Linked DNA regions of Struthio camelus. The protein of the gene in region 1 interacts with the protein of each later gene in a pairwise test. Links are inferred from orthologs where the notes say so. Each region holds a gene or a part of one and is shown on either strand. Other genes may lie near its edges.

Region 1 (9,823 bases):
ATCAGAGGTGACTGGATATATATTTTTACTATTCCCTTGCCTTTAGTTGCAGTATGCTCTTTCACTTCTCAGCTGCCTCCAACAGAGAGCAATCAAACTAAAACACAAGTAAGAAAAAGGAAAAAAAATCTGTAAAGCTATTTTTGGTATCTCAGATCTTTGGCTTAACTGATTTTTGGAGCAGCATCTTTGTTCAGCAGAATCAAGACTCCCACCCCCACAGCACCACGGTGACCAGAGCAATGGCCCAGGAGCCCGGATTCAACGTTGGCCCTACCACCCCATCGTCATATGACCCGAGCAGGCCGTTTCGCTCCCTTCCAGCACGCTTTGGGTATCTTCATTTCTGCACGACCACATGTGCACAAACAGCACCAGCCTGCCCGATGGTGCAGGCTCCTCCAGGGCAGCATCGGCGTCTCACTACATGTCCTATAGTATAGCCCCCAGCACAGCAGGCCCACAATCATAGCAGCTCTGGCTACATAAATAGCAACCAGTATACACAGGTCTCACTCACTCTTGTTTTAATAAATCTTTGTTCAGGGTACAAGAACTGCCAGCAAGAAAAAAACAGCAGTCTCGCCTATCAAAGGAGAATGAAACATAATTCATGCACCACTTCTTGTTTTGCTGGTTTGATTTAAGAAGTTGTATCCCAGTACTGTCTGCTCTGAGACATGATTACCTTTGTACTTCCACTAGGTGCCTCTTCCAAAAGCAGTAGCGTTTTCGCTTGCCCCAGAAAAAAGTAGTTGGGAAAGATGTAAAATAGCTGGCTTCGTCTGTCACAGCTTGCTATACGCGACATAACGGGAGCACACACTTCGCAAGCACGTGCGGCCACAGAGCGCTCCGGCGAGGATAGCCCTTGAACCTACATTTTGTGCCGGGGCCAAGAGACAGCTGCTTTCAACAGCAGGTTGAACTGCCCAAGAAACCCAACGCTGTGCCGGTGCTGCCCTCCAAGCCACGCCAGGAAGCCCAAGGGGACGCTGTAAACCTAAACCAGCCCCCAGGCATCATCCGCTGACCCCAAGAAGGAGCAACGCCATGGGAAGGTTACCGGACCGGCTGCTTGTTTCTGCTCCCCTCTCCCACATTAGCAGGGTCTGACAATGCTCTAGCCGAGATAACGGGGATGGCAATTTAGCTCATGGTTGGAGGCCTGCTTTGAGAGCCGAGAGAGCAGAAACCCAAAGAACAACTCGCATCAAACCGGAGAGCCCGAACATCTCACTTCCTTGAGCCCGGGTGGGGTTTTGTTTTGTTTCCCTCTCCCCCTCCCCACAATACTCATCCCTCCCAGGAAAAAAAGAAGAAACTCTAGATATTCGTTTTGACTGAAAATATTTTGCCTTTCTGGCTGTGGAGATAGCCGTCCAAATGAAACACCAAGCCCCACCGTCCTGCTGGGTTTGGTGAAAGGCAGGCTGAAATGCCAGCAGGAACAAAGAGTCTCCAGGGAATCAGTGTGGACTGATGGATGAGAAGCTTAATTAGAGTTGCCTGAACATTAAATATCATTAAGAGAGTGCACAGAAATTTGCTCTATTTTTCTAAATGGCCTCTTTATTGTCTTTTTGTTCACAGCTGTCAACGTTTTTGAAACTTCTCAGTTTCCAGCTCTTCCCCCTCAAGAATGAGGCTGATGCAACTGTGCTTGCACATCAGTCAGGCCTCCCTACTGAACCTGATGGCCAACTGACACTGAATTTAGGAGGAGGGTAATCTCAAAGACATCAAGTCCTTACAAGCTTTGGATTTAGGCAGCTGGAGAGCAGATACCCTATGAAAGTCCTATTGAGCAGGAGATTGCAGCATGAGACAAGCCCATACGGGACACCTGGGAAATCACACAGATCAACCACAAGTGAGAAAGCCATAGGAAACAAGGCTCAATTGGCTATGCCGATCATTTTTAGAGCAAGTTGTAAAAAAAAAAAAAAAAAAAAAAAAAAAAAAAATTCTTTTCATGCTTTAAAAGGCTACTGAGCACAGTAAGATTGTTTGGAAGTGTTTAACAGATTACAATTAGTGGAAAAAATTAATAGACTATAATTGGATGTTAAAAAAAAAGTATACGTCCTCCAGGTGTAAGAAACATCAACGGTGTGGGATTTCCAACAGCAGCGTTTCCTCTCGTGCCTGGCTGTAATGAGTAACCATCTTCTGCAAGGCCAATGGCTGAGGGCTCATTCGGCTTCCACCAAATCTGGGGAAAACGTGGCTGAATGCTACGGCAGACTGAACAACCAAACGCCACCGACTTCAGCAAGAACCAAAGCAGAGACAACCCCAGAAACACTATCAGGAAAGAGGAACGGCACCGTGAGTAAAAAAAGTTAACACAAGCAGCACAGTTTGAATATCCCGGGGGAGAAATTTTAGCACGAGGTTTTTTTGTTAGAAGTTCACACACATGCCAGAAACGCCGCAGCTGTTGGTTAAGCCCGAGCGTACCCACGGACACCTGTTAGCAGTTTCAGTGTATGCCACTCGGCCACACTTCCGTTTTTAGGTTTTGCCGAGTAAAACAGTAAAAATCAGAATGAATTTTGGAATTCGAACAAGTGCATGCCAAACGTTCAAGATCCTTAACTGGAGCCGCTTCAAAGTAATAACTGGATTTAAGTGCCAAGTCCGAGTGTGATCAGAGAGGAGGGTGAGAGATGGAGGCTCCCCCACTCTGTTTTTCTTCCTCTTTTAACCATACCTTGTTGCAGTTGCACGCTACCAATGACAGATCTGTGTTAACGTCATCTCTTGGGCAACGCCTTAAGCCATACGAACTGGAGCTATCCTTGAACTGGGCTTTAAGCCCAAATCACATACGCCAACTGATGTCAGAAAGAATGGTTTTGTGCATACTGTTTCCCCTACTTCAATACAGAACCTGGGGTCAGAGGCGAGGTGGACGAGGCCACGTGAAGGTCAAAGTTATCACCAAGTAATGTGGTGAGAAGTTTGCTCTCAGGTGCCTGATGGCAAGAGTTGAGGCTGGCGAGGTAACAGCATTTGCTGCGCGCGACAGCAGCAGTGCGAGTCCTCCGAAGGCTGAATTATGCTTTTGTTCCCTAGTGCTGAAGCAATACTTGTGAAATAAAACACTTGGCGAGAAACTTGCTCGCTACCAATTTCCATGCTGCTTATTTAGGATTAGCCCTTGGGAACCCGAGATTTCAGAGAAATCTAAATATCCATCTGCTGTGAACGCTCACGGTTGATGAAGGCGACCAGAAAAGCGTCACCTGGAAGCTAATTGGGGCACCAAAGTAACCAAGCAAGTCCCTGAGCAATGGGGTTTTCTAGGCCTGGCTTCAGGCGGGGCCGTGCCGAGGGGATTCTCCAACGGCTCGTAGCCCAGCCTCGGCGACAGCACCGACGTGGCCTCTCCTCCACACACAGACAATTACTCTTGAGACTCTCCATTAAACATGGTTCAACATCCACTACAGCTGAAGGACAGGCAGACACATATGCATGCACGGAGTGACTGGATAAGCCTCATTTCCTTAGGATCACGTTAAAAAAAAAAAAAGTGCAAAAAACCAGTAATGCCACTCTGAGCTTCTGCCATAATCCTGCCTTGCTTCGGTGCAGAGTGGTCTAAAATCTCCTGATGAAAGTTTTTCTCTTCTAAAAAGTGCAGCTTCACCTTGATCAAAACCATTCACAGAAAGTGTTTGAAGCAGGAGAAGAAAGTTTTGCTTCAGCATTTTCAAGAGGACAGATACTGCCTTTCCCCCAAATTCACACCATGTTTTCACCTGGCTTACTTCAGACTAATTGTTTTGCAGAGCAAAAATGTAATTCCATGCAGAACAAAGACTTCCCATCAACCTGAAACAAACTAAACCAAAAAAGAAAAAAAAAACCTTAAATAATAATAATTTTAAAAAGCCAGCAAGCCAAAAGGCAACCTACAGTTCTCAAAGCTTTCACCGGAGCGGCAGCACCAGACCCGGCTTGCTGCCCTGATGGTCACCGGCCCTGCCAGTCCCCCCGCCCCACGGGAGAGCGGCAGCCTGTTGCGGGAAGGTAACGCGCAGAAGTACCTCGTCAGGAGGAAACGACCAGTCCAAAGGGTCATTTTGTGAGCTGTAAATTGAGAGCAAAGGGAAAAGCCTCTCAAAGCTTTTTTCCCAAAATTAACTTCTGGAGACGCGAGCCAGCCGGGAAGAACGGCAAGGATGCCGGGGACCGACAACACCGGCAGCCCTGCTACCGCGAGCAAGCGCAGGCGGTTGCGTGCGAGTCAAATTCCTGCACGGGGTGGGAAAAGGAGGAGTGGAAACCTGTGCACCTGGGGCTTTAATCCCATTCCCCTTGTCAGGGGGGAAAAAAAACATCATCAGCATTAGACTGACAGAGCTCTCGAGCAATTCTCCTGCTCCTGCAAAAACACCCTCCGTGCAGCAAGAAGCCTGTCCTCAACGGTGGCGGTGACAGAGCTGCCACCTCCCCGTAGCCATCAACACAGACTCTCGCACGGGGAGGGGGAGCCCAAGTTTCTGCTGCTGTCCTAGGCAGCGTTATTTAAAGTTTAAAGTACAATAAAGGCGCTAGCAATAAACAGACTAGCAACAATGCCTCAGTGTCATCTCAGTATACAGTGCACCTATATATGTTTATATATCATACATATCAGCAGGCCATGGAGAGCCACCTTATCACAACTACTAATGCTGTTCCCTCATTTTCCAAATGCTAAAGCCTATTAAAAAAAAAAAAAAAAGGCTCTAAAGGGCAAGACCATCACAAGGGCTCGCTGCTGCCCTTTGGTGCCTCGCAAGTTGGTGGGAATTTTGTCCTTAGCTGCAGTGACAGCCGCGTTAGTTTAATGCTGAGCATTTGGGGGGGGGGGGGGGAATCCATTGTTTCTTTATTTTAACCCAAGGCCGGTGCGTAACAAAGAGGGAGGCAGGCAGCCTGCGTGTTAGCGGCTGGTTCGTCCTGAAATTCTCAGGGTCTCATCAACACCGAGGGTCTGCCCGCCCCGGGGGGGGAACCAACCAAACGAACAAAAAAAAAAAAAAAAAAAAGCCCTCACACAACAACCTTTTTTTTGATCGTAACCGTAATCTGAGCAAGTCAGTCACCGCGCCGTTCACCTTCTGCAGCGACGAGCGGCAGAAGCACAGAAGAGCCGAGCGGGTTTCAGGCGCTTCCAACCCCTCACACGCACAAGCGCCCACGAGCGAGGGCTTCCCCCCCCCCCCAAAAAAAAAAAAGCCGTTATCGACATACGGCGGCCACGGGTACCGGCTCGCCGAGGGGAAACCTGGAAGGGGCACCACCTCCAAAGAAAGTTGGCACCAACTTCCACGGGAAAGCAGACTGCCAGAAAGCAAAACGCCTTAAAAAAAAAAAAAAGAAAGAGAGAAAGGAAAAAAAAAGGGGGGGGGAAAGGGGAAAAAAGGCATTGTCACTAAAAAAAAAAAACAAAAACCTCTCGCCCACCGAATAAGCGGAGCTCACCTATATCTACCCTTCATAAAGCGCCTGACGAGGAGGAGAGGGCACCCACGAGCCGGCTCCGCGCCGCGGGCGCTGCAGCCTCCGCCGGCCCCGGCTCCCCGCGCTGCGCTGCGCCGCGGCCGCCCCGCGCCGCGCCTACCTCGGCGGCGCCGCCGTCACGCCGCCCCCAGCGCCATGTTCCCGCGCCGGCTACATCCGGGCTCGGCCCGGTTCGGCTCGGCCCGGCCCGGCCCGGCCGCAGGTGCCGCCCGCCCCCGCGCGGGGCGGGGCCCTTCGCCCGCCGCGCCGCCCACGCGCGGAGGGCGACCTGGCGCTTTTGTGCGCCCGCCCGCGCGGGCAGCCCTCCTGCCAGCCGCGCGCACGCCCACCCGCGCTTTCGCTCCGCCGGGCCCACCCGTGCAGCCCCCCACACGCCCCCTCCATCCACCCGTGCAGCCCCCATGCACCCCCCCGCCCATCTCTCCGCCCAGGCGTCCACCTGTGCGTCCACCCGCCCACCCGTGCATCAAACCCTCCACCCACTCCTTTTCCTTAACCAGTACTAATTGCGTCCACTATTCCTTTTGTTTTAGGCAACAACGTATGAGCAGACAGGAGCTCCTGCTGTTTCAGCGCGCGGCGGTGCGGATTCTCCAGTGCGCGCGGGGGGACTTGTGCGACGCTGTACGGCCGTGGCGTGTCCTACCTTCCCTGTGTAATTTGTCGGCGAAAGGCGTTTAACAAAGCGCAGTTCTGAGGGGTGAGGAGGGCTACCATTGTCCAAGTGCACAAAAACAACGCCACGGATCAAACAGGGCACGTGGGCATCTTCAGTCATAATGCCTGCGGGCAGAAATTTTGGTTTAGAAGTGTCAGAGGTCACTGTTACTTGTAACCAGTTCCCATTCCTCTCGCTAGGTGATACTCACGTGTCTGCACACTCCTCTGCTTCAGACCGTAACATTTTTTTTTTTTTAATTGACAGCGCGAACGCCGAGATGGCAGATAAACAAAGCAAACGACAAAACCTGAAACACGCTCAGTTCCTAGGCTGCACTTCGGCGCCCAGCCCGCAGCGGCACTAAGCGAAGCAGGCGCAGGGCGATGCTGCCTCGTGGCAGGGAGCTTCAGCAGCGGCCGCCAAGGCCAGGAGCCATGCCACGTTCGAGAGGGGAGCGCCGCACTTCCGTGCGGATGACAGGAGCGTGTTGAATTGTAGAAGACTGGAAAGGGGAGGAGGAGGCGGCGCTCGTTCCCGCGGGGTAAAGCCAGCGTACCTAGGCGAGGCTCAGAAAGAGCTGTAAAGGCGCCGCGTATTTCTCCCCAGGCTCCCTGCGTGGAACCTGGTCCTTGGGTTTTATTTGGTTTGTTTTTATTTTGTTTTTGTTTTTTTTACACCAACACCTGCTCCGACATGTTTTATTATCTGTAAGAGCTCCCTGAGCAGTGGACAGACCCTAGACATAAATCCAGTTTAGGCGAACCAATGGGAAGGAAGCAATCAGAGAAGTACGAAAGCAAAATAAATGTCTATCCTCTGTAATTTAGGTGTATTACTGCCTGCAATTTGTGCCTGCCTCTGAAAGCTGTTTTAAGCCTACGTTTTTATATAACATTCCATAAGAAAGATTAAGATTGCCTTTAATAAGGGTACCTATCAATCTTAGTAAATGTTAAATCAGGAGAGAAATACCGTGGTCGCACTCATGTGTGACCATAAACCAAGAAATACTGAACGCTAATAGCAAAGTGTTTTTCAGAGTCATGTAAAGCATAAGATATCTGGAAGGAAAAGCCTGAAAATGGCTTGATTTATACAGCCTGGTCTGAGAGAGAGGTGGTCCTATATGTAACAAGTTAGAATTAAATGTCATTTCTGGTTTCTTTGATGTAGGCTTTTGTTGAAATGCACTTACGATGCTGCGGAGTAGAGAGTGCATGACAGAAACGTCGTAAAGGTTTACATTAGAGCTGCGTAGGGCAGCCGCAATTTTCACAGGGCAGCCGTGCTAGCAAAGAGAGAGACATGCCCATAACCCGCCTGCTTGGAGAAGCGATGGTCTCGAGAATCCCTTTTTCTCCTCAGATAGATTCATACCCGCCAGCGATCGCCGTTACAGTCGTCATTTTGCCTCCTCGAGTAGGTAGCGGCACTCAACGACTGTCGCTCTACAAATAACACGTGCAGCCAAGCCTTGCCCCGAAGGGCAGCGGGAACGGGGAGCGGGGAGAAGGGAGGCTCCGCACCCACCACAGCCCAGCCCACCCCGTGCGAACGGCCCTCCCTGCTCCAATTTATTTTTAATCTGGCGGGAGGAGGTGAGACGCTGTTCAGAGCAGGAGGTGAGATCCCTCTTTCATATCATTGCAAGTGACAGTCAGTCACTCAGATTATGCTAAAACTGGAGAAAAAAATGGGGAAATATGACAACGTAAGCGAAAGCAAGCTGGGCTGAGGGAAGAACGATGGCCAGAAGGCGTTGCACCAGCAGGTCCTTTGCCCACTTCCCAGTGAGCCTGGCGGCTCTCAGACGCAGGGTGCTCCCCAAAACAGCTCCCTGGGCCCCCCGGCCAGGCAACACACCCCGGGCGCATTGCACATAGCATCACCCACCGGCCGGGCTCGGGGCCAAAGACCTTGCCTAGACCTGAGCTGACAGACCAAGGACCTGCCAAGGTTGACGTCTTTTTTCTCATCTTGCACCACCCACACCGTGGCTGCAGTGGAGGGATCGGGTTCAGTAAAAGTTGCCCTGGTTTTCATGGCCTTTTTTCTCCCTCGGCACTGTAGTTTTCTGCAGTTTTTCACTGGCCCCCTGTTTACTTCAGCTTAACCATGCTGCACTGAAAGCTAGGCCTTTTGTGATAATCTCTGAACCCACAACTGCCATTCATTAGAGTTAATCATAGCTCTCGGCACTTACCGCAGACCTTATCGCCTTTAATGTCTCAGAGGGGCCCTTTTCCCTTTTCAGACACGCAGCAGTGCAGGGAGGTGCAAAGACTGAGGCTCTAATGGCCCTCAGCTCTTCACCCGAGCTCTGAACAGGTTTCCATATGTGCTAAAAAACCTACATTAACAAGAAAAAAATCCATCAGAAATTTACTCTTCCATTATCCATAACATTTGCTTCCATCTCATCTTCCTTGCTTTTCCCCTAAACTGCTGTTCTACCTAATGCTGCAAGGTTAAATAAGCTCCCTTTGCTCTTGAGAGAACATTGCATTTGGCTGTTCAGAAAGCGTCTGCTCTGTCTTCAAAAACTGGAAATGACAGCGGTGACTATCGCCAGGATAAGAGGGAGTCCTCTCCTTACTGCATCGGTGGGAGCACAGGAGCTAAAAGGAAGACTAGGTGCAGATGACCACAATCACAGATATTGGATAAAGCTATTCAGAAATATGGTGGACCAGAATTCACACTCCTAAATCTGAAATTCAAAACAAGTTTTGGGTGCGCACAGCACATGCTGCCCCTGAGTGGGTGCCTCTGTTGCCCAGGATTTGATTTAACCTCAGCCGGTGTGGTTCGGCTTGTGTTCCCATAGCCACGACCCACAACCGAGACGAGAGACCCTCCCCGTTGAAGTCACCCTGTTGCTTTTGATTTCGTTTGGCTTGTTTGAGTCTCAGCGGTCTTAGCAGCCAGGAGCAACGTTTCAGTTGCCACTGAAGGATGTTCAGCTTCTGGGAAAGAAAAAGGAAAAAAAGTCAAGCATTTCATTAAAAATAAAATAAATCTTGGACTTAGACTTCATTGCAGGATTGGAGACTTATATACTGATGTATCAGACTGTATCAGAAATAACGCAGTATAAGGCAGCAAAGATTTTTTAGTTTTAAACCAGCAAGTGATGTGTGTCTGTAACACAAGGTGTTGCTTGTCAAATCTTGACATTGTACGTATAGCTGATGGTAGGAGAAAAATCAAGGTTTTGCTATTTTATCTTTAGTTTCAAGTGTGATTTGGAGGAAATGAAGAAATTGCCTCAGTGACTTGGCAAAAGGGGATGACGACTGCTAGCCCTGTCACACCCGGCGCTGTTGCCTGAGCTAGGAAATGGGTGGCTCAGTCTGGCTGAAAGAATAGCATAGCGACGGCCGCCTGGAGGCGTGGGAGAGGCAGATGAAGGTCCCCCGGCCCCAGGAGCACACAATGGCTGGAGACCTTCTCACAGCCCAGCACACAGCTGTCCACTATGCCGACATCCAGTGCTCCTTGGATGTCCTTCAGCTATAGGTTTGGGAAAAAGGTGCTGCACCCACATAAGAGCGCAGGGAGAGGAAGATGGTAATAATCCTCTCCACCCCACTTGGCACCGGGCTGGAGAGGCTGCGAGTCTCCTGGATTGCCTTTCACAGA
Region 2 (9,823 bases), on another chromosome or scaffold:
GGGGGGGGTTGGGGTCCCTGGAGAGGGGTTTGGGGGGTCCTGGGGGGGTTGGGGGTCCCTGGGGCGGATTTGGGGTCCCTGGGGGGGTTTGAGGGGATCCTGGGGGGTGGTTGGGGTCCCCCCGGGGGGGTTAGGGGTCCCTGGGGGGGATTTGGGGTCCCTGGGGGGGGGTTTGAGGGGGTCCTGGAGGGGGTTGGGGGTCCCTGGGGGGGGTTGGGGGGGTCCTGGGGGGGGGTTGGGGGTCCCTGGGGGGGCCCTGGGGGTCCTGGGGGGGTTTCGGGAGGTCCTGGGGGGGTTGGGGTCCCTGGGGGGGGTTTGAGGGGTCCCTGGGGGGGGGTTGGGGGTCCCTGGGGGGGTTTGGGGGTCCTTGGGGGGGGGTTGGGGGTCCCTGGGGGGGGTTAGGGGGTCCTTGGGGGGGTTTGGGGGTCCTTGGGGGGGGTTGGGGGGTCCTGGGGGGGGTTTTGGGGCATCCCAGAGGGGATTTTGCGGGTCCCAGGGTGGGTTTTGGGGGTCCCAGAGGGGATTTTGCGGGTCCCAGGGTGGGTTTTGGGGTTCCCAGGGGTTTTTTTTGGGGGTCCCGGGGTGGATTTTGGGGGCCTGGGGTAGGTTTGGGGGGGTCCCAGGGGATTTGGGAGGTCCCAGGGTGGATTTTGGGGGTCCCAGGGAGTTTTGGGGGTCCCAGAGGAGATATTGGGGGGTCCTGGGGGGGTTTGGGTGGTCCCGGGGTGTATTTTGGGGGTCCCGGGATGCATTTGGGGGGTCCTGGGGTGGATTTTGGGGGTCCCAGGGAGTTTTGGGGGTCCCAGAGGAGATATTGGGGGGTCCGGGGGGGGTTGGGGGGTCCCAGGGTGTATTTTGGGGGTCCCGGGGTGCATTTGGGGGGTCCTGGGGTGGATTTTGGGGGTCCCAGGGAGTTTTGGGGGTCCCAGAGGAGATATTGGGGGGTCCGGGGGGGGGTTGGGGGGTCCCAGGGAGTTTTGGGAGTCCCAGCAAAGATTTGGGGGTTCCCAGGGGTTTTTTGGGGGTCCCGGGGTGGATTTTGGGGGTCCCAGGGTGCATTTGGGGGGTCCCAGGGTGGATTTTGGGGGTCCTGGGGTGCATTTGGGGGGTCCCAGCGAAGATTTGGGGGGTCCCAGGGGGTTTTTGGGGGTCCCGGGGTGGATTTTGGGGGTCCCGGGGTGGGTTTGGGGGGTCCCAGTGAAGATTTGGGGGTCCCAGGGGGTTTTTGGGGGTCCCGGGGTGGATTTTGGGGGTCCCGGGGGGTTTTTGGGGGTCCCGGAGTGGATTTTGGGGGTCCCGGGGTGGGTTTGGGGGGTCCCGGGGGTGGGTTTTGGGGGGGGGGGTCACTCACACTTCGGCGGCGACGTAGAAGTTGCAGCCCAGGTCGACCTGGGTGCGCAGGGGGGCGGCCGCCTCCTGCCGGCCCCAAAACCGCCCCGGTTCGCCCCAAAATGCCCCCCCCGACCCCCCCCCAGACCCCCAAATCCCCCCCAGACCCTCCAATCCCCCCCAAAATCCCCAATTTCCCCCCAAATCCCCAAATCTCCCGACCCCAAATCCCCCCCAGACCCCCAAATCCCCCCCAGACCCAAAATCCCCCTCATTCCCCCCAAACCCCCCAACCCCAAATCCCCCCGACTCCCCCCAAAATCCCCAAGACCCCAAATCCCCCCAAATCCCCCCAAAATTCCCCCCAAGACCCCAAATCCCCCCAATTTCCCTCAAATTCCCAAATCCCCCCAATTCCCCCCAAAATCCCCAAGACCCAAAATCCCCCCAATTTTCCCCAAATTCCTAAATCCCCCCGACCCCAAATCCCCCAGTTCCCCCCCAAAATCCCCCCAAGACCCCCAAATCCCCCCAATTTCCCTCAAATCCCCCCAACTCCCCCCAAAATCCCCAAGACCCAAAATCCCCTTAATTCCCCCCAAAATCACCCCCCAGACCCACAAATCCCAATTCCCCCCCAAATCCCCCCAGACTCCCAAATCCCCGCAATTCCCCCCAAAATCGCCCCCCAGACCCCCAAATCCCCCCAACTCCCCCCAAAATCGCTCCCCAGACCCCCAAATCCCCCCAATTCCCCCCCAAATCCCCCCAGACTCCCAAATCCCCCCAATTCCCCCCAAAATCGCTCCCCAGACCCCCAAATCCCCCCAATTCCCCCCCAAATCCCCCCAGACTCCCAAATCCCCCCAATTCCCCCCAAAATCGCCTCCCAGACCCCCAAATTCCCCCAAAATCCCCCCCAGACTCCCAAATCTGCCCCAGACCCCCAAATCCCCCAAATTCTCCCCCAAATCTCCCCAACTCCCCCCAAAATCGCCCTCCGGACCCCCAAATCCCCCCAGCTCCCCCCAAAATCGCCCCCCAGACCCCCAAATTCCTCCAAAATCACCCTCCGGACCCCCAAACTCCCCCAATTCCCCCCCCAAAAATCCCCCCCAAGACCCCAATCCCCCCCAATTCCCCCCACACCCCCCGCCCCCCGTGGCCCCGCCCCCATCGTGGCCCCGCCCCCATCGTGGCCCCGCCCCCAGCCCCCCCCCATAGCAGCAGCACCCCCCCCTGCCCCCGGCAGCGCAGCCGGGCTGACCCCGCCCCCCACCCGGCCGAGGCCCCGCCCCCTCCCGGCCGAGGCCCCGCCCCCTCGGCCGAGGCCCCGCCCACCTGGAGGCGCTCCAGGGCGGCGCGCAGCTGCAGCACCTGGGCCAGCTGCTCGCACACCGCCTCCCGCTGCGCCAGCACCCGCCTGCGGGGGGGGGGGCGGGGCCTCAGCGGGGGCGGGGCCTCGGCCGGGGGCGGGGCCGGGAGGTGGGATGTGGATGGGGGGGCGGGGGGCGGGGCCGGAGCGCGTGGGCGGGGCCAGAGCGCGGGGGGAGAGAACGCGTGGGCGGGGCCAGAGCGCGGGGGGAGAGAACGTGTGGGCGGGGCCAGAGCGCGGGGGGAGAGAACGTGTGGGCGGGGCCGGAGCGCGGGGGGAGAGAACGTGTGGGCGGGGCCAGAGCGCGGGGGCGGGGCCAGAGCGCGGGGGGAGAGAACGCGTGGGCGGGGCCAGAGCGCGGGGGGGAGAGAACGCGTGGGCGGGGCCGCAGCGCGGGGGGAGAGAACGCGTGGGCGGGGCCGGAGCGCGGGGGGAGAGAACGCGTGGGCGGGGCCGGAGCGCGTGGGCGGGGCCGGAGCGCGGGGGGAGAGAACGCGTGGGCGGGGCCGGAGCGCGTGGGCGGGGCCAGAGCGCGGGGGGAGAGAACGCGTGGGCGGGGCCGGAGCGCGTGGGCGGGGCCAGAGCGCGGGGGGAGAGAACGCGTGGGCGGGGCCGGAGCGCGTGGGCGGGGCCGCAGCGCGGGGGGAGAGAACGCGTGGGCGGGGCCAGAGCGCGGGGGGAGAGAACGCGTGGGCGGGGCCGGAGCGCGTGGGCGGGGCCAGAGCGCGGGGGGAGAGAACGCGTGGGCGGGGCCGGAGCGCGTGGGCGGGGCCAGAGCGCGGGGGGAGAGAACGCGTGGGCGGGGCCGGAGCGCGTGGGCGGGGCCGGAGCGCGGGGGGAGAGAACGCGTGGGCGGGGCCGGAGCGCGGGGGGAGAGAACGCGTGGGCGGGGCCGGAGCGCGTGGGCGGGGCCGGAGCGCGTGGGCGGGGCCGGAGCGCGGGGGGAGAGAACGCGTGGGCGGGGCCAGAGCGCGGGGGGAGAGAACGCGTGGGCGGGGCCAGAGCGCGGGGGGGAGAGAACGCGTGGGCGGGGCCGCAGCGCGGGGGGAGAGAACGCGTGGGCGGGGCCGGAGCGCGGGGGGAGAGAACGCGTGGGCGGGGCCGGAGCGCGGGGGGAGAGAACGCGTGGGCGGGGCCGGAGCGCGTGGGCGGGGCCAGAGCGCGGGGGGAGAGAACGCGTGGGCGGGGCCGGAGCGCGTGGGCGGGGCCAGAGCGCGGGGGGAGAGAACGCGTGGGCGGGGCCGGAGCGCGTGGGCGGGGCCGCAGCGCGGGGGGAGAGAACGCGTGGGCGGGGCCAGAGCGCGGGGGGAGAGAACGCGTGGGCGGGGCCGGAGCGCGTGGGCGGGGCCGCAGCGCGGGGGGAGAGAACGCGTGGGCGGGGCCAGAGCGCGGGGGGAGAGAACGCGTGGGCGGGGCCAGAGCGCGGGGGGAGAGAACGCGTGGGCGGGGCCGGAGCGCGTGGGCGGGGCCAGAGCGCGGGGGGAGAGAACGCGTGGGCGGGGCCGGAGCGCGTGGGCGGGGCCAGAGCGCGGGGGGAGAGAACGCGTGGGCGGGGCCAGAGCGCGTGGGCGGGGCCAGAGCGCGGGGGGAGAGAACGCGTGGGCGGGGCCAGAGCGCGTGGGCGGGGCCAGAGCGCGGGGGGAGAGAACGCGTGGGCGGGGCCAGAGCGCGTGGGCGGGGCCAGAGCGCGGGGGGAGAGAACGTGTGGGCGGGGCCAGAGCGCGGGGGGAGAGAACGCGTGGGCGGGGCCAGAGCGCGGGGGAGAGAACGTGTGGGCGGGGCCAGAGCGCGGGGGGAGAGAACGCGTGGGCGGGGCCAGAGCGCGGGGGGAGAGAACGCGTGGGCGGGGCCAGAGCGCGTGGGCGGGGCCGGAGCGCGGGGGGAGAGAACGCGTGGGCGGGGCCAGAGCGCGTGGGCGGGGCCAGAGCGCGGGGGGAGAGAACGCGTGGGCGGGGCCAGAGCGCGTGGGCGGGGCCAGAGCGCGTGGGCGGGGAGGGGCTGGCTGTGCGGGGTGGGGGGGGGCGGGCAGCGGCGCGGGGGGGCAGGGGGCGTGGCCGGGGAGGGGGCGGGGGGGCGTGGCCAGGGGGGCGGGGGGGCGTGGCCGATCCGCCGTGAGGAGGGAGGGGGCGGCGCGGCGGCCCACGAGGGGGAGGGGGAGAGAAGGGGTGGGGCGGGGGGAGTGCGGGGGCGGGGCCGAGGGGAGGGGGCGGGGCCGAGGGGGGAGGGGGCGGGGCCGAGGGGGGAGGGGGCGGGGCTCACGCACTGCAGGTCGCGCTGCAGCACGTCGCTGACGAAGGCCTCGTAGCGCCGCACCTTGCCGGCGGCCGCCATGGCCGCGCCGTGACGTCAGCGCGCCGCCGCGTCAGCGCGCCGTGACGTCAGCGCGCCGCGCCCGCCACAGCCTATCGGCGCGCGGCTGGGCGCGCCTGTGGCCGGTCGGCGCGCTCGGCGCTCGGCTGCGCCGCCTGGCCGGGCCGGCGCCCCCGCGGTGACGTCATCGCGGCGCGCCGCGGTTCGGCCGCCGCCGGCGGCGGGAGCCCGGGGGGGGGGCGGTGGGTTTTGGGGGGGAATCGGGGAGAAACGCGACGTTGTTTCGGCTTAACGGGGGATGGGGGGGCGGCGGGACACCTGGGCCCTTCCCCGGACGCCTGGGCCCCTTCCCCGGACGCCTGGGCCCCTTCCCGGACGCCTGGGCCCCTTCCCCGGACACCTGGGCCCCTTCCCGGACGCCTGGGCCCTTCCCCGGACGCCTGGGCCCCTTCCTGGACACCTGGGCCCGTGTCCCGGACACCTGGGCCCGTTTCCCCGGATGCCTGGGTCTCTCCCGGACACCTGGGCCCCTTCCTCGGACACCTGGGCCCCTTCCCTGGACGCCTGGGCCCTTTCCCCGGATGCCTGAGCCCCTGTCCCGGACACCTGGGCCCCCTTCCTGGGCGCCTGCACACCTTTCTGGATGCCTGGGCCCCTTTCCCTGGATGTTTAGGTCCCTTTCCCGGACGCCTGGGCCCCTTCTCCAGACACCTGGGCCCCTTGCCCGGACACCTCGGCCCCTTCCCGGACACCTGGGCCCCTTGCCCGGATGCCTGGGCCCTTTTCCCGGACACCAGGACCCCTTCCCCGTATGCCTGGGCCCCTTACCCGGATGCCTGGGCCCCTTTCCTGGACACCTGTGCCCCTTGCCCCGGACGCCTGGGCCCTTCCCCGGACGCCTGGGCCCTTTTACGGGATGCCTGGGACCTTTCCCAGATGCCTGGGCCCTTTTCTTGGACGCCTGGGCCCATTCCCGGACGCCTGGGCCCCTTTCCCGGATGCCTGGGCCCCTTCTTCACATGCTCAGATCATTTCCCTGGACGCCTGGGCCCCTTTCCCCGGACACCTGGGCCCTTCCCTGGAGGCCTGGGCCCCTTCCCTGGATGCTTAAATCATTTCCCCGGACGCCTGGGCCCTTCCCCGGACGCCTGTGCCCCTTACCCCGGACACCTGGGCCCCTTTCCCGGACGCCTGGGCCCCTTATGCCGGACGCCTGGGCCCTTTCCCGGATGCCTGGACCCCTTCCCAGGATGCCGGGGCCCCTTCTTCACATGCTTAGATCATTTCCCTGGATGCCTGGGCCCTTTTCCGGACACCGGTGCCCCTTTCTCTGGACGCCTGGGCCCTTTTTCCCGGATGCCTGGGCCCCTTCCCCAGTTGCTTAGGTGCCTTCCCTGGGTGCCTGGGCCCTTTTCCCGGACACCTGGGCCCCTTCCCTGGATGCTTAGATCATTTCCCCGGACGCCTGGGCCTCTTCCCTGGATGCTTAGATCCTTCCCCGGACGCCTGGGCCCATTTCCCCGTACGCCTGGGCCCCTTACCCCGGATGCCTGGGCCCTTTCCCCGGATGCCTGAGCCCCTGTCCCGGACACCTGGGCCCCCTTCCTGGGCGCCTGCGCACCTTTCTGGATGCCTGGGCCCCTTTCCCTGGATGTTTAGGTCCCTTCCCCGGATGCCTGAGCCCCTTTCCCGGACGCCTGGGTCCCTTTCCCGGACACCTGGGCCCCTTCCCTGGATGCTTAGATCATTTCCCCGGACACCTGGGCCCCTTTCTTGGATGCTTAGATCCTTTCCCGGACACCTGGGCCCCTTCCCCGGATGCCTGGGCGCTTTCCCTGGATGCTTAGGTCCCTTTCCCGGACGCCTGGGCCCCTTCCCCGGATGCTTAAATCATTTCTCCAGATGCCTGGGCCTCTTCCCTGGATGCTTAGATCCTTCCCCGGATGCCTGGGCCCATTCCCCGGATGCCTGGGTTCTTCCCCGGAGGCCTCGGCCCTTCTCCGGACGCCTGGGCCCATTTCCCCGTACGCCTGGGCCCCTTACCCCGGATGCCTGGGCCCTTTCCCCGGATGCCTGAGCCCCTGTCCCGGACACCTGGGCCCCCTTCCTGGGCGCCTGCGCACCTTTCTGGATGCCTGGGCCCCTTTCCCTGGATGTTTAGGTCCCTTTCCCGGACGCCTGGGCCCCTTCTCCAGACACCTGGGCCCCTTGCCCGGACACCTGGGCCCCTTCCCCGGATGCCTGAGCCCCTTTCCCGGACGCCTGGGTCCCTTTCCCGGACACCTGGGCCCCTTCCCTGGATGCTTAGATCATTTCCCCGGACACCTGGGCCCCTTTCTTGGATGCTTAGATCCTTTCCCGGACGCCTGGGCCCCTTCCCTGGATGCCTGGGCCCCTTTTCCTGGATACCTGGGCCCCTTCCCTGGATGCCTGGGCCCTTTCCCTGGATGCTTAGGTCCCTTTCCCGGACGCCTGGGCCCCTTCCCTGGATGCTTAGATCATTTCCCCGGATGCCTGGGCCCCTTGCCCGGATGCCTGGGCCCTTTTCCCGGACGCCTGGGCCCCTTCCCCGTATGCCTGGGCCCCTTACCCGGATGCCTGGGCCCCTTTCCGGGACACCTGTGCCCCTTACCCCGGACGCCTGGGCCCTTTTCCCGGACACCTGGGCCCTTTCCCTGGATGCTTAGATCCTTTCCCGGATGCCTGGGCCCTTCCCCGGACACCTGGGCCCTTTTACCGGATGCCTGGGACCTTTCCCAGATGCCTGGGCCCTTTTCTTGGACGCCTGGGCCCATTCCCGGACGCCTGGGCCCCTTGCCCGGATGCCTGGGCCCCTTACCCCGGATGCTTAGATCATTTCCCCGGACGCCTGGGCCCCTTTTCCCGGACACCTGGGCCCCTTCCCTGGAGGCCTGGGCCCCTTGCACGGATGCTTAAATCATTTCCCCGGACGCCTGTGCCCCTTACCCCAGACGCCTGGGCCCCTTATGCCGGATGCCTGGGCCCTTTCCCAGATGCCAGGGCCCCTTTCCTGGATGCCTGAGCCCTTTCCCTGGATGCTTAGGTCCCTTTCCCGGACACCGGGGCCCCTTCCCCAGACACCTGGGCCCTTTTCCTGGACGCCTGGGCCCCTTCCCCGGACACTTAGGTCCCTTTCCCGGAGGCCTGGACCGTTCCCCGGATGCTTAAATCATTTCCCCAGATGCCTGGGCCTCTTCCCTGGACACCTGGGCCCTTTTCCCGGATGCCTGGGCCCTTTCCCTGGATGCTTAGATCCTTTCCCGGATGCCTGGGCCCCTTCCCCGGATGCCTGGGCCCATTCCCCGGATGCCTGGGTTCTTCCCCGGAGGCCTCGGCCCTTCTCCGGACGCCTGGGCCCATTTCCCCGTACGCCTGGGCCCCTTCCCCGGATGCCTGGGCCCTTTGCCTGGACACCTGGGCCCCTTTCCTGGACGCCTGTGCCCCTTCCCCGGATGCCTGGGCCCTTTTCCTGGATGCCTGGGCCCTTTCCCTGGATGCTTAGGTCCCTTTCCCGGACGCCTGGGCCCCTTCCCCGGATGCCTGGGCCCCTTCTTCACATGCTTAGATCATTTCCCCGGATGCCTGGGCCCCTTTCTTGGATGCCGGGGCCCTTTTTCCCGGATGCCTGGGCCCCTTCCCCGGTTGCTTAGGTCCCTTCCCTGGGTGCCTGGGCCCCTTTCCCGGACTCCTGGGCCACTTCCCCGGATGCCTGAGCCCCTGTCCCGGACACCTGGGCCCCCTTCCTGGGCGCCTGCGCACCTTTCTGGATGCCTGGGCCCCTTTCCCTGGATGTTTAGGTCCCTTTCCCGGATGCCTGGGCCCCTTCTCCAGACACCTGGGCCCCTTTCCCGGACACCTGGACCCCTTCCCCGGATGCCTGAGCCCCTTTCCCGGATGCCTGGGTCCCTTTCCCGGACACCTGGGCCCCTTCCCTGGATGCCTGAGCCCCTTTCCCGGATGCCTGGGTCCCTTTCCCAGACACCTGGGCCCCTTCCCTGGATGCCTGGGCCCCTTCTTCACATGCTTAGATCATTTCCCTGGACGCCTGGGTCCCTTTCCCGGACACCTGGGCCCCTTCCCTGGATGCTTAGATCATTTTCCTGGACGCCTGGGCCCCTTTCCCTGGACGCCTGGGCCCCTTCTTCAAATGCTTAAATCATTTCCCTGGATGCCTGGGCCCCTTCTTGGACACCTGGGCCCCTTTCCCGGACACCTGGGCCCCTTCCCCGGATGCCTGGGCCCCTTCCCTGGATGCTTAGATCATTTCCCCGGACGCCTGGGCCCTTTTCCCGGAAGCCTGGACCCTTCCCCGGACACCTGGGCCCCTTCCGCGGACACCTGGGCCCCTTCCCTGGATGCTTAGATCCTTTCCCGGACGCCTGGGCCCCTTCCCCGGATGCCTGGGTTCTTCCCCGGAGGCCTCGGCCCTTCTCTGGACGCCTGTGCCCCTTTCCCGGACGCCTGGGCCCTTTACCTGGATGCTTAGGTCCCTTTCCCGGACACCTGAGTCCCTTTACCCGGACGCCTGGGCCCCTTTCTCGGATGCCTAGGCGCCTCCCCCGGACGCCTGGGCCCTTTCCTGGATGCCTGGGCCCCTTCTTCACATGCTTAGATCATTTCCCCGGACGCCTGGGCCCTTCCCCGGACACCTGGGCCCTTTTCCCGGATGCCTGGGACCTTTCCCAAACGCCTGGGCCCTTTTCTCGGACGCCTGGGCCCCTTTCCCTGGATGCCTGGGCCCCTTCCCCGGATGCCTGGGCCCCTTCTTCACATGCTTAGATCATTTCC

What was found. The genes of interacting proteins can lie anywhere in the genome.
Region 2: the proteins of PAK5 (region 1) and UXT interact in binary tests that used the Homo sapiens proteins (3 or more experiments, as listed by UniProt). The two-hybrid records come from large-scale screens. The link is inferred for Struthio camelus from reciprocal best matches to the Homo sapiens genes PAK5 and UXT.

The regions. Positions count from the first base shown.
Region 1 is NC_090944.1:129,342,214-129,352,036, reverse strand, and holds the start of PAK5 (serine/threonine-protein kinase PAK 5), read right to left. Parts: upstream 5,721-9,823; 5' UTR 5,621-5,720; intron 5,608-5,620; exon of another isoform or gene 5,482-5,607; intron 1-5,481.
Region 2 is NW_027182705.1:16,225-26,047, forward strand, and holds the start of UXT (protein UXT), read right to left. Parts: upstream 5,165-9,823; 5' UTR 5,036-5,164; coding exon 4,968-5,035; intron 2,753-4,967; coding exon 2,671-2,752; intron 1,417-2,670; coding exon 1,352-1,416; intron 1-1,351. UniProt on the Homo sapiens protein: Involved in gene transcription regulation. Acts in concert with the corepressor URI1 to regulate androgen receptor AR-mediated transcription. Together with URI1, associates with chromatin to the NKX3-1 promoter region.